Linked DNA regions of Schizosaccharomyces pombe. Changing the gene in region 2 together with the main gene of any one other region gives a genetic interaction. Each region holds a gene or a part of one and is shown on either strand. Other genes may lie near its edges. The genes, in order: abp1 and sap1.

Evidence for each region.
Region 1: of sap1 (region 2) and abp1, a mutation in one rescues a mutant of the other (synthetic rescue), as found in Schizosaccharomyces pombe (one study listed by BioGRID).

Annotation. Positions count from the first base shown.
Region 1 is NC_003424.3:5,261,435-5,267,226, reverse strand, and holds abp1 (cofilin/tropomyosin family protein abp1), read left to right. Parts: upstream 1-2,180; 5' UTR 2,181-2,196; coding exon 2,197-2,344; exon of another isoform or gene 2,345-2,409; coding exon 2,410-4,835; 3' UTR 4,836-5,292; downstream 5,293-5,792. Other genes in the region: protein adg1, read left to right, coding at 874-1,374; dpp1 (dipeptidyl peptidase), read left to right, coding at 5,474-5,792.
Region 2 is NC_003421.2:560,937-565,890, reverse strand, and holds sap1 (switch-activating protein Sap1), read left to right. Parts: upstream 1-2,124; 5' UTR 2,125-2,773; coding exon 2,774-3,538; 3' UTR 3,539-4,315; downstream 4,316-4,954. Other genes in the region: SPOM_SPCC1672.01 (histidinol-phosphatase), read right to left, coding at 4,614-4,954. UniProt on the Schizosaccharomyces pombe protein: Binds to sequences required for mating-type switching. Makes a simultaneous contact with both the alpha and beta domains of the switch-activating site SAS1.

The DNA.
Region 1 (5,792 bases), on a different chromosome or scaffold from region 2:
TGTAATAGTAGTAATGTTTTTAAATGGTTGTTGGCAAAAATATCAAGGTACGGGAATCTGGCGTTTTTTAGTATAGTTAGCTCGCCCGATTGACCCTCTTGTATTACTTATATCAGTCCATCTGTGCCTATTTACGATGAAACATAGCATGCAGAAATGCAAAGTTACTTTCTTGAACTAATTTTATTAATTCTTTATGTATCCTGAGAGCAAATTATAAAGCAGTAGTTTTTTTAGGTGATTTTTTTTTAACAACCAAATTATACATGATCAAAGTTCTTGAATCTTTTGTTTTAATACAATAAAGCAATCCTTTCATATTCTTACAACGTCTCTTTCTTTTAATCAACATTAGGCTCAATAATACGTACGAGTAACTCTTATATTATATGGTATAACCATATGAAGTGACATGTTTACTGAACAATCTTTGCTTAGCATATTGGGAAATCTCATATACGCTTTACTAGGATATTTTATATTACTATAACTCCTTATTGAGATGCATAACTTATTATATTACGATTTGTTTTTCCTATGTACACTCTTAAATCTAGGTGCTTGCATGCCAGCCACCAAAGCGATTTCTTGAGGCCCGCCATGTAAATCGGTTTGAAAAAAAAAAAAAAATGCTACACGGTCCAGTTTGTACAATGGTGATCAGTTCACCAGCCATCAGTTCGATTTTCAGCGCCTTAATTCATTTTTATATAAGTTGGCAGATCAGGCGTAAAATAACTTAAATCTTTTTTTATATTTCAAAAGGCCTTGCTTTTGTACTTCTTTCAAGTAATTGGGATAATTTCAATACTCATTGCTTTTTGTTTTTGTTTTCTTTGAGTGACTATTTACAAAAAATTACTTTATTATAAAATGTTTCTTCGCTCTATCTTCCAAACCTTGTGCGCTGTCTCTTTCCTCGCTGGAAGCGTTTTTGCTGATTCGGGTGTTTCGATTGTCTCTACCCCTGCTACTACTACAGTCTATTTAGTTCGCACTGTTGACTGTTCAAGCTCTGAAGTCACCTCCCAACCTGTTGTTACTGTTTACAATGTCCTCAAACCAGACACTGTAACTTTCACTGTTACTGAGACTGCCGGTTCCTACGCGAAGCGTTCCATTGAAATTGACAGCGATTCAGTTTCCCCAACTAGCGCTACTACGACTACTCCTGTTGCTTCAGCTACTGACGTCTCCGTATACTCTGCCAGCATTCATGTTCCTACCGGTAATCCGCCAGTGGACACTCATAACCCTCTTTCTTATGACACTGAGGTGACGGCTACTACCACCTTTTCAATTGCCTTGCCAAAGTTTAATAAAGGAGACCGTGTTAGCTCTGCCAACACCTACAGTGTCTCCTTTGTTGCCTAATACTCTGATGCCTACTTGTAAAACTTTTTGGACGCCTTCAATCCGTCGAGGATTGCACGAGCAATAACTTTCTAAGTATCTATCATTTCCATTGGTCTGTCATTTTCATGTTCATTCTACCTGCACTTCATTTCGTTTATTTTTTTTTTTGGACCCGAAATACTGATCATGTTTTTCCTATCAATTCTTAACAACAATATCTTATACATGTTCAAAACTTACTAGTCTTGCTGTTTGTAGGATCACCCTTTATTTTGATCTTTTGTCAACTGAATCCTTCAAATGCTGCTGGCCAGCATTCCATTGTTGTTTACAGAAAACTGGTGTGATCCAGATTTTTTCATGAACATTCGAAAAGCATCAAAATCATTATATTCATAGAAAATTGTTTTTATTATTTTAATTATCAAACAAATTACAGACTCAGAGAAAATCATCTATCGCTGATTCAACTAGAGATAGTTAAACATATTCCTATTATTAGTATACTCTACCTATAGCTTTTGAAATGTATGTAGTGACTAAAAGGTAGTTAATATTAACTATACGTATAAAGAAATATCAATACCTTAGAATTAGCTGAAATACACTAATGCTACGTCAAACTAATATCAACCATGAAGGACTAAGCGTTCATTGAGACGATCATATTTCCGAAATCCATAATATTATTAAAACACTAGAGTATTACAATTGCTTATTCATAAACAAGATTTCCACTTTTACTAATATGATAATAGCACATAGTACCATGAATGAGGAACACAATGACGGAAGCATATTGTACAGCGCAATTCCTTCCATTTACCATTCCCGCCCAAAATGTCATTTCAACTAGATACGAGCACGCATGGAGCTGAGATTAGAAACGTTTATGAAAAAGTACTCAGCGGTGCTGATGATTGCTCTTGGGCCATTTTTGGATATGAAAAAGGACAAGGAAATATCTTAAAAGTGGTGGCTTCTGGAAGTACGGTGTTTTTACAATAGTTTTATTTATTTTGATGACGATTTTTCTAACTTTATAATTTTAAGACGACAATGATGAATTTCTTGATGAATTTGATGAAAACGCTGTGCTGTTTGGGTTTCTACGTGTGAAGGATGTCAACACTGGATTAAATAAATTTGTTTTGGTATGTTGGTGTGGTGAAGCAGCAGCCCGTAAAGGTTTGTTCTCTATACATATGGCTACGGTTTCCAATCTTTTGAAAGGTTATCATGTTCAAATAACGGGACGTGAGTCGTCTGATCTAAATATGGATGATATTATTCGTCGAGTAGCAGATGCTAGTGGTAGTAAATACTCCGTTCATACTTCTAATTCAACTCCTCAATCAAAGCATAACGCATTTTACGATGCTAGCCAGACTTTTGGAAGTACTGCCAAGGTTGCCCCTGCACCAGCTCCTTCTACCAAAACCCCTTTGGCCAATATTTCAAAGCCAGTGGTGCAAGCGCAGAAAGACTCAAAGGACAATAGTTGGGACGATTCGTCTAAGCAAAGCAATACCCAGACTGCAAATACTACTTCAAACTTACGTGTCCCTGTAAATGCATCGTGGTCGGATGCCGGTCGTAAAGAAAAATCTCAAGAAAATAAGCCTAAACCCACTCCTTTTGGGTCTGGTGGGCCATCAAAGCCTACTCCTTTTGAATCTCATGGGCCAGCTAAGCAAATCTCTGTTCAGCCTAGCGAACACCCGAAGCCTTCTATTTCAACTACAACTACTGGCTCAAGCTATCGCTCTGCAGAATCCAGTCACGCTCCAACTACTCCGGATCATTTTAAACTTACTCCTTTGACTAAACTCGAACCTCAACCACCTTCTGGTTCTCCCTCAAAAAAACCTGTCTCTGAATTAGAAGAGCTGCATACCGCTGGTAATGTGAATTTATCTGCTAGACGTGCTTTGTTCGAAAAGAAAGAATCCTCAACTAAGAATGTTGAAAACCCAGTATCACATCATCTTAAAAGTCCTGTTCGCACAAGTTTTCCTCCTGCTTCAACTACTGCCAGCAAACAAGATTCCCCATCAACGGTACCTGTCGACAAACAAGAAACCGCCAAACCTATAAATAAACAGGTTTCATCCAATGAAACTTCAGCACAGGAAGAGCCACGTGAAAGCGTTGCAGCGCTTCGAGCTCGTTTCGCAAAAGCAAATGTTAGTGAAAATAACGATCCTCCTACATTTCCCAAGACGGCTGCTAAAATATCGAGCTTTAATTCGAAGGCAGGAACTTCTTTTGCCAAACCTCGACCTTTTACAAATAATCCCAATCCCATAAGCGCTCCTGAAAAACCGACATCTGGCGAAAGTCTTTCGTTAAATCCACCTCCAGCAATGCCAAAGGTTTTTCCAGAAAGGGATATCTCATCTGCTTCACAAAAAGCGGCGCAACCATCAGTCATTACTCCTTCGGTTCCTCAACCGCCTGCTGCTCCAGTTGTACCAGAAGCTCCTTCGGTCCACCAACCGCCTGCTGCTCCAGTTGCACCTGAAGTTCCTTCGGCCCCTCAGAGGCCTGCTGCTCCAGTTGTACCAGAAGCTCCTTCAGTTCCTCAGAGGCCTGCTGTTCCCGTTGTACCAGAAGCCCTTTCGGTCCCCCAACCACCTGTTGCTCCTGTTGCACCTGAAGTTCCTTCAGTTCCTCAACCACCTGTTGCTCCTGTTGTACCTGAAGCTCCTTCAGTTCCTCAACCACCTGTTGCTCCTGTTGCACCTGAAGTTCCTTCAGTTCCTCAGAGGCCTGCTGTTCCCGTTGTACCAGAAGCCCCTTCGGTCCCCCAACCACCTGCTGCTCCTGTTGTACCTGAAGTTCCTTCGGTCCCTCAGAGGCCTGCTGTTCCCGTTGTACCTGAAGCACCTTCGGTCCCTCAACCACCTGCTGCCCCCGTTGTACCTGAGGTTCCTTCAGTTCCTCAACCCCCCGCTGTTCCTGTTGTACCAGAAGCTGGACAACTTAATGAGCCCGTGGTTCCTCCTCTCCCACCGCATGACGAAACTCAAGAACCTCAAGTCGGTGGAGATGTCAAAGCTACAGAGCATACACAACCTACAAAGACTCCGGCCATAGTTATATATGATTATTCTCCTGAGGAAGAAAACGAAATCGAGTTAGTAGAAAATGAGCAGATTCAGATTTTGGAATTTGTCGATGATGGATGGTGGTTAGGAGAAAATTCTAAAGGTCAACAAGGTTTATTTCCTTCTAACTACGTTGAAATAACTGGACCTAATGAGACTGCCAATAATCCTCCTGCCGAGCCACAAGCAGGGGGTCCTGGTAAGTCTGTGAAGGCAATTTATGATTATCAGGCTCAAGAAGATAACGAGCTCAGCTTTTTTGAAGACGAAATTATCGCCAATGTGGACTGTGTTGATCCCAATTGGTGGGAAGGTGAGTGTCATGGTCACCGAGGACTGTTTCCCTCAAATTATGTAGAGGAAATTTAGACTTGAACGTTAAACGTACCTACCGCCTTTGCATATTGTCAATGGCTGTCTTTTACCTAGAAATGTGGGTTTAATATGACTTTATAAATGCTTGGAATGCTCTTTAGGTCAATCATAAAACTTTTGCTACTAGCCAGAAGTGTTCATGAATCAATCATCTGGAAGCCTTGCAAGCCAAAATAAATAAAGAAAATAAAAGTCTGATTTTTTAAGTTTCTTCTTTTACCTATCACTGTTGAATTTATTATATTTGATATATATTTATTTGTATCGAATTCGGTGTTTATATATGTTATGATTCTTTGTTCAAATTATGCTACTTTATTACCCACCAACTTATAAGCCATGAGTATATGCAAATTGGTTTGTGTATTGGCAAAGAAGTAATACTTTTAAATGTGCTCATGATTCGAGAACTAATCAAATATTCAATAAAATAATCAATCTTATTAGCCTACTTCATTACAGCATAGTGATATATGTATTTGCTACTCCATATTTCCTCGTTGCATTTCGCTATTTTATATTTGTATTTGTGGTCATCGAATGTATCAAATCACATTCAATACTGTTTGACAATATATTAAGAAGACCAAGTAAAAATTGGCGCTTCTCAGTCACTTATTCCAGTGGCATGAATGAATGCATATGAAGGTGACACCTTGAACAACCATGGAAAGTCATCAACCAGACAACACTGGCGGAAACGTAGCGCAGTATCATCGTCTTTAGAATTTTCATCATATGAAGAGTCGAACAGCCCCATAGAGAACACTGAAGTTTTAAAGGTTTCAGAAATTGAAGCTAAAAAGCGTCGGCGCAAAAAGCATCGATACATTTATCTAGCAGTCTGTCTCTTTTTCTTAGCTTCAGTTTTATCGTGTGCTATAATATTCCGTTTTTATCTTCATACTAATCGGGAAAACTTCTCACTCTTCAAGAATGATTCCTATAAGC
Region 2 (4,954 bases):
GCTTGGAGAAATCTGAGTGATGAGAAGGCAGATGGATTGTATGTGTGTGTGAAGAGCACGCATTGTGTTGGAGCACGTTTGTTAGAGTACGCTTTGCGTTAGAAGCATGTCTTGTGTTGGAAGCACGCTTTGTTGTATTTTTGGTTCATGATCGTTTAACGAAATAAGATAGAAATATTAAATGTGCAAGCAGCAGAAAGATTGTAATGTTAAAGTGGAAAAGAGCCAAGTAGAGATATTGTAGAGGATACGATGTGTTTGATAGGGCGGAATTTTGTATATACTGTTTTTTCAGGTAGAATACAGGGAAAATGCTGAAGCGACGTTTGCAGTGTTGAAGAGATGACAAATACAAGACCTTTACAAAATGCATTCTAGTTTGATTTTTTTTTTTTTTTATAAAGTGAATTTTTTCAAGATTTTATTTTCCTAATTTTATTTTCCTAATTTTATTTTTTATATTTTTAATTATCAATTTTATTTTTATTTTATTTTTTTTATTTTCTATTTATTTTTTTATTTTGCATTGCTCATTCTTTCACCCAGAGTAATCACTAAATTAGTCTTTGTTTACAACAATTTGAACAAACAAGTAAATAAATGAAAATAATATTGTTGTCAGACAAAAAACAAGTTAAAATTAAATAAATAGAAAACTTGTGGCTCATTTGATTCTTAGTTATTCTTTGTTTACCTGCGAATTGTTTTTTATTACAATACCCAACAAGTGTTTTCATGTAAATCATTTCACACTCTGTATATTTTACTTTACATATATATATGTGTGCGAGTTGAATCATTTAGTTTCTATCAAAACTCTTTCTACTGCTCTCCCTCTAGATTCTTAATCGGTTTACTGACTCTTTCCAAGTTCTTAATTTTTTACTGCACTTTTTTTATAGTCTTATTTATTTTTAGTATACTCTTTCTAAAGCCTTATTCGGGTTACTGCCTCTCTATGTCGTCTTTTACTGTCTCTCCCTCTACATCCCTATTCATTTACTGCACTCCTTCCTACTCTCTTTTTCGTTTGCTTCCCCCTCCAAGTTTTGTTTCGTTGCAACAAGGTAGAAACAATTCGAATGGTACCAACAATTCTAGCAATCCATACAGACTCAACACCATACATTTCAAGGGTCGACCTCAGATTACTCAATGAAACTCTTGAAAATCAGAATGATCAACCAATATTCATAAATGCTTACAGCAACTTTTGTCGATTGCTAGCAATGATGCATTTAGGTGAAACAAAGTGTGGTCTAACAATGTTTAAATAAAAGAAAAGAAAGGAAAGAAAAGAAAGAAAAAAATAAAAAAAATACTTGATCTTGATTGTATTTTTATTTTCTTTTCTTTTATTTATTCTATTATTTCTCTTTCTTTTTCTCTGCTATAAAAGTGGCGACCATACTGCAATCGAATGAATGTCCACACTGCAAAAAGTGTATGGAAGAAAGCCCTAGAGTAGAAAAGGAAAGAGAAAAGCGCACAATAAGGAATGTTAAGAATAAGAAAAAAAAAGTTTCAACATACTTTATTTTAATTATTATACTGTGGTTTATTTCCTTATTCCAATTACAACAATGTAATTTACATGCTTATTCTAATTACTACAAAGTGATTTTTATCCTTATTCTAATTACTACACTTGATTCACTTCCTTATTCCAATTACAACGCTATGATTCATCTCCTTATCTCCTCTAATACCCTCCCTCTCCCTCCTTGCTTTACTCTGCGGGCATCCCTCTTCCCCCCCTTCATCACTCCCCTAACCCACTGGAACGTTGGGTTTGTTCGTTTGTGCAATCTTTTCTTATCTTCACATTTCCACCCACTCTTCCATCTCACTAATTCCGCTCCTGGGAGCCGGCAAATCAGCACCTCCTTATCCAATAATACGCAATCCACATGACGCCACCATCGTTGCTAGTCTTTCCATTCTCATCGCTATCGCACGTTCCAGATGTGGCGCCCCTCCTTATTCCTCGCTTTCATTGGCTCTCTCCCCATCCCTCGTTGTGACCGTTTACCAGCGATACCGTATGTCATCATTACCGACCGTGCCTGCGTTTTGGTGGCACTCGATCTTATTTACCTCGCTGCGCATCCCAACGAACGCTTTACCAACACCTCCAACACACTCTCCATCGTATTGCAGTGTCGTGTAGGACTTGCCTTCGTTCAGATCCTTAAATAATTTCATTCAAAATCGGTTTGCATTGCTTTCCTCTGTTTTGCTTTGCCCTGCCTTTGTTGGAAAACCTCTCTTACCTCTTCTACTTGTGTTGACTCACCAGTCAGATCAGCTTGGCTCTACTTGTCTACGACTGGAAGCGTCTTTTCACCTCTACTACAAACTTCTATTCTACTATATACTCTTCTCCTGTTTTGCTTTGCTTTGTTTTCTTTTGCTTAGCTTAGCTTAACTTGACTCGACTCGACTCTGTTTTTTTACCTTGCTTTTATACTGTTCGTCTAGTACATAGTATACTTACTATCTTGTTAGTTCCTCCTATACGATTCGATTGCTTTTCCATCTCGTCTCGTTTTTCTCCTCCTCTCACTTAGCTTTTCTTCTATAAAAGGTCGATTTTCATCCTTCTCCTTTTATATCCAAAGCAAAAGCTTTCTGCGACAACTTTTCCTTTCCTTTCCTTTTCTCTTTTTTTTTTTTAACTATACACCACTCTTCCCCTAGCGGCAATTTGGATTTCGGACAATCGAATCCAAATTCCACCTATAAATTATTCAAGACGGATCCCCTATTTTCTATGGAAGCTCCCAAGATGGAACTGAAGAGCTATAAACGAAAGAATGCTTCGTTATCTCCCAGTTCCTCTCCCGCCAAGGCACAGCGTACTCACTTGTCCTTGGAGGAAAAAATCAAGCTCATGCGCTTAGTCGTGCGTCACAAGCACGAACTCGTCGACCGTAAAACTAGTGAGTTTTACGCCAAGATCGCCCGTATCGGTTATGAGGACGAGGGCCTCGCTATTCATACCGAGTCCGCCTGTCGCAATCAAATCATCTCCATCATGCGCGTCTACGAACAGCGTTTGGCCCATCGTCAACCCGGCATGAAGACCACTCCCGAAGAGGATGAGCTCGACCAACTTTGCGATGAATGGAAGGCCCGTCTCAGCGAGCTCCAACAGTATCGCGAAAAATTCTTGGTTGGCAAGCGCAAGTGTGATTGCAATGATGAAATTAATGAACGTCTCAAGAAGCTCACTGAAGAGCAACAAAACGTCGACATGCTTGTCGCCAAGGTCAACTTTCTCTCCAAACATCTTCACGATAATGAGGAAAAATTAATGCAGGTAAATGCTAAAATGGATGAAGTTCTTGCCGAAAATAAGCGCCTTCAACAACTTCTCGATCATAACGATTTGTTGTCCAAGCTCGAGCCTCCCTCTGCTTACGCTCCCCATGGCGTTAACATGGGCACTAATATGGGTGCCAACATGGGCGCTAATATGAATGCCATTCGTGGCGGTCTCCATTCTAGCATCTCTCCTAATCTTGGTGACCATTAATCCCAACTTTTCCGCCCATCCTCCTCCTACCTGTGAACACACAACCTCTTTTCTTCGAGAATTTCGTTCTCAATCCTTGTTTAACTTATGTTGAGCGGTTGAATATAAATTTTTTTTCTTCTTTACTTTTGACTGACGGTCTGCTTGATGTAAATATCTTTCATTTCTCCCTCTTCCTAGTTGTGTGCAAGGCGAATCATTCGGTAAAGCTGGTTACTTCCTTCCTCGTAGGTATCTTTGCCCCTTTCCAAATAAAAAGGCAACGAAGCCTTTCTGTATGTGCGCTAGTTGGGTTGCTTCTATTTTCTCCGCATTTTCTTGTCTCTTCCGTTATTAAACTAATATTGATTTTTTTTTCTTTCAATCCGGACATATTAAATTCTTTGTTTTTTTTTATTTTTTGTCCTCCTTCAAACAGTTTCGGTGATTGCTTTGTTTTCGCTTTCCACCGCTATTTGCCTTTGCCCTCTTTCCCTTTCGCACTAATTCGTTGTCCTTTTTGCTTTCGTGCTTTATCCCAATTTCGTACGACTATCGTTCTTCCCTTCAAACAAGCTTGAAACAGGTACTGTCATATGTTTTGCAAGCAATCCTCCTTGCACTTTCGGTTGAAGCTTGACGAAAGCCCAATGGTCCCACCCATGCTTTGCTTGTAACGTCACATCATGGTTATCTCTTATTTAGAATAGTTTTTTCCCTTAAATTGGTTTCAGTAGTGTTGGCCATTAGTCGGCCTACTCAATTGAGTTAATGTACAATTAATACAATTTTAAGCGACAGAAATCTATGTATCGTAGCAATCGATAGTTCATGTGCAAGTGGAACAAATATTGAGACATCGTAGTACTCGTGTAAAACAAACAGTCTTGTTAAACGGGAGCTCCTCATAAATGGGATCATCATCCACCACAACAAAAGCTTTGCCGGCCATTTCATACGAAGTGATTGAAATATGGTGAATAGCTAGTTACTATACTTCAGGTGACCAAACAGTGTACTTTTGAATTTCCCTTGTAAAAAAATTTCAAGTCCAAAAATGGCCCCAATACGGAAACAAATTTAAACTGTATTACTTCTATGTGTTAGTTATTCCGTTTGTGCCAACGAATTTAGACCAAACATTGTCGACCGTAACATTTTTAACCACCGTGCCATTACCATCGGGGCCCTTTTCTATCATACAGAGGCTTGTAATACCGCATTTGTCCAGATACGACTTGGCCAAATGATAATTCAAGCCAACTTGATGTGGTCCATGACTATCGTCAGATAAAGTGAGTTGCGCTCCTTGTTCAACCATCAGCTCAAGAAGTCGTTGCTGAGGATACGCAGTCTTCCATCCTTTGCGAAATGCAGAGGTGTTAATTTCAAAGATACCACCATAAGAAACAGCGTATTTAATGTTTCGTTGTATAA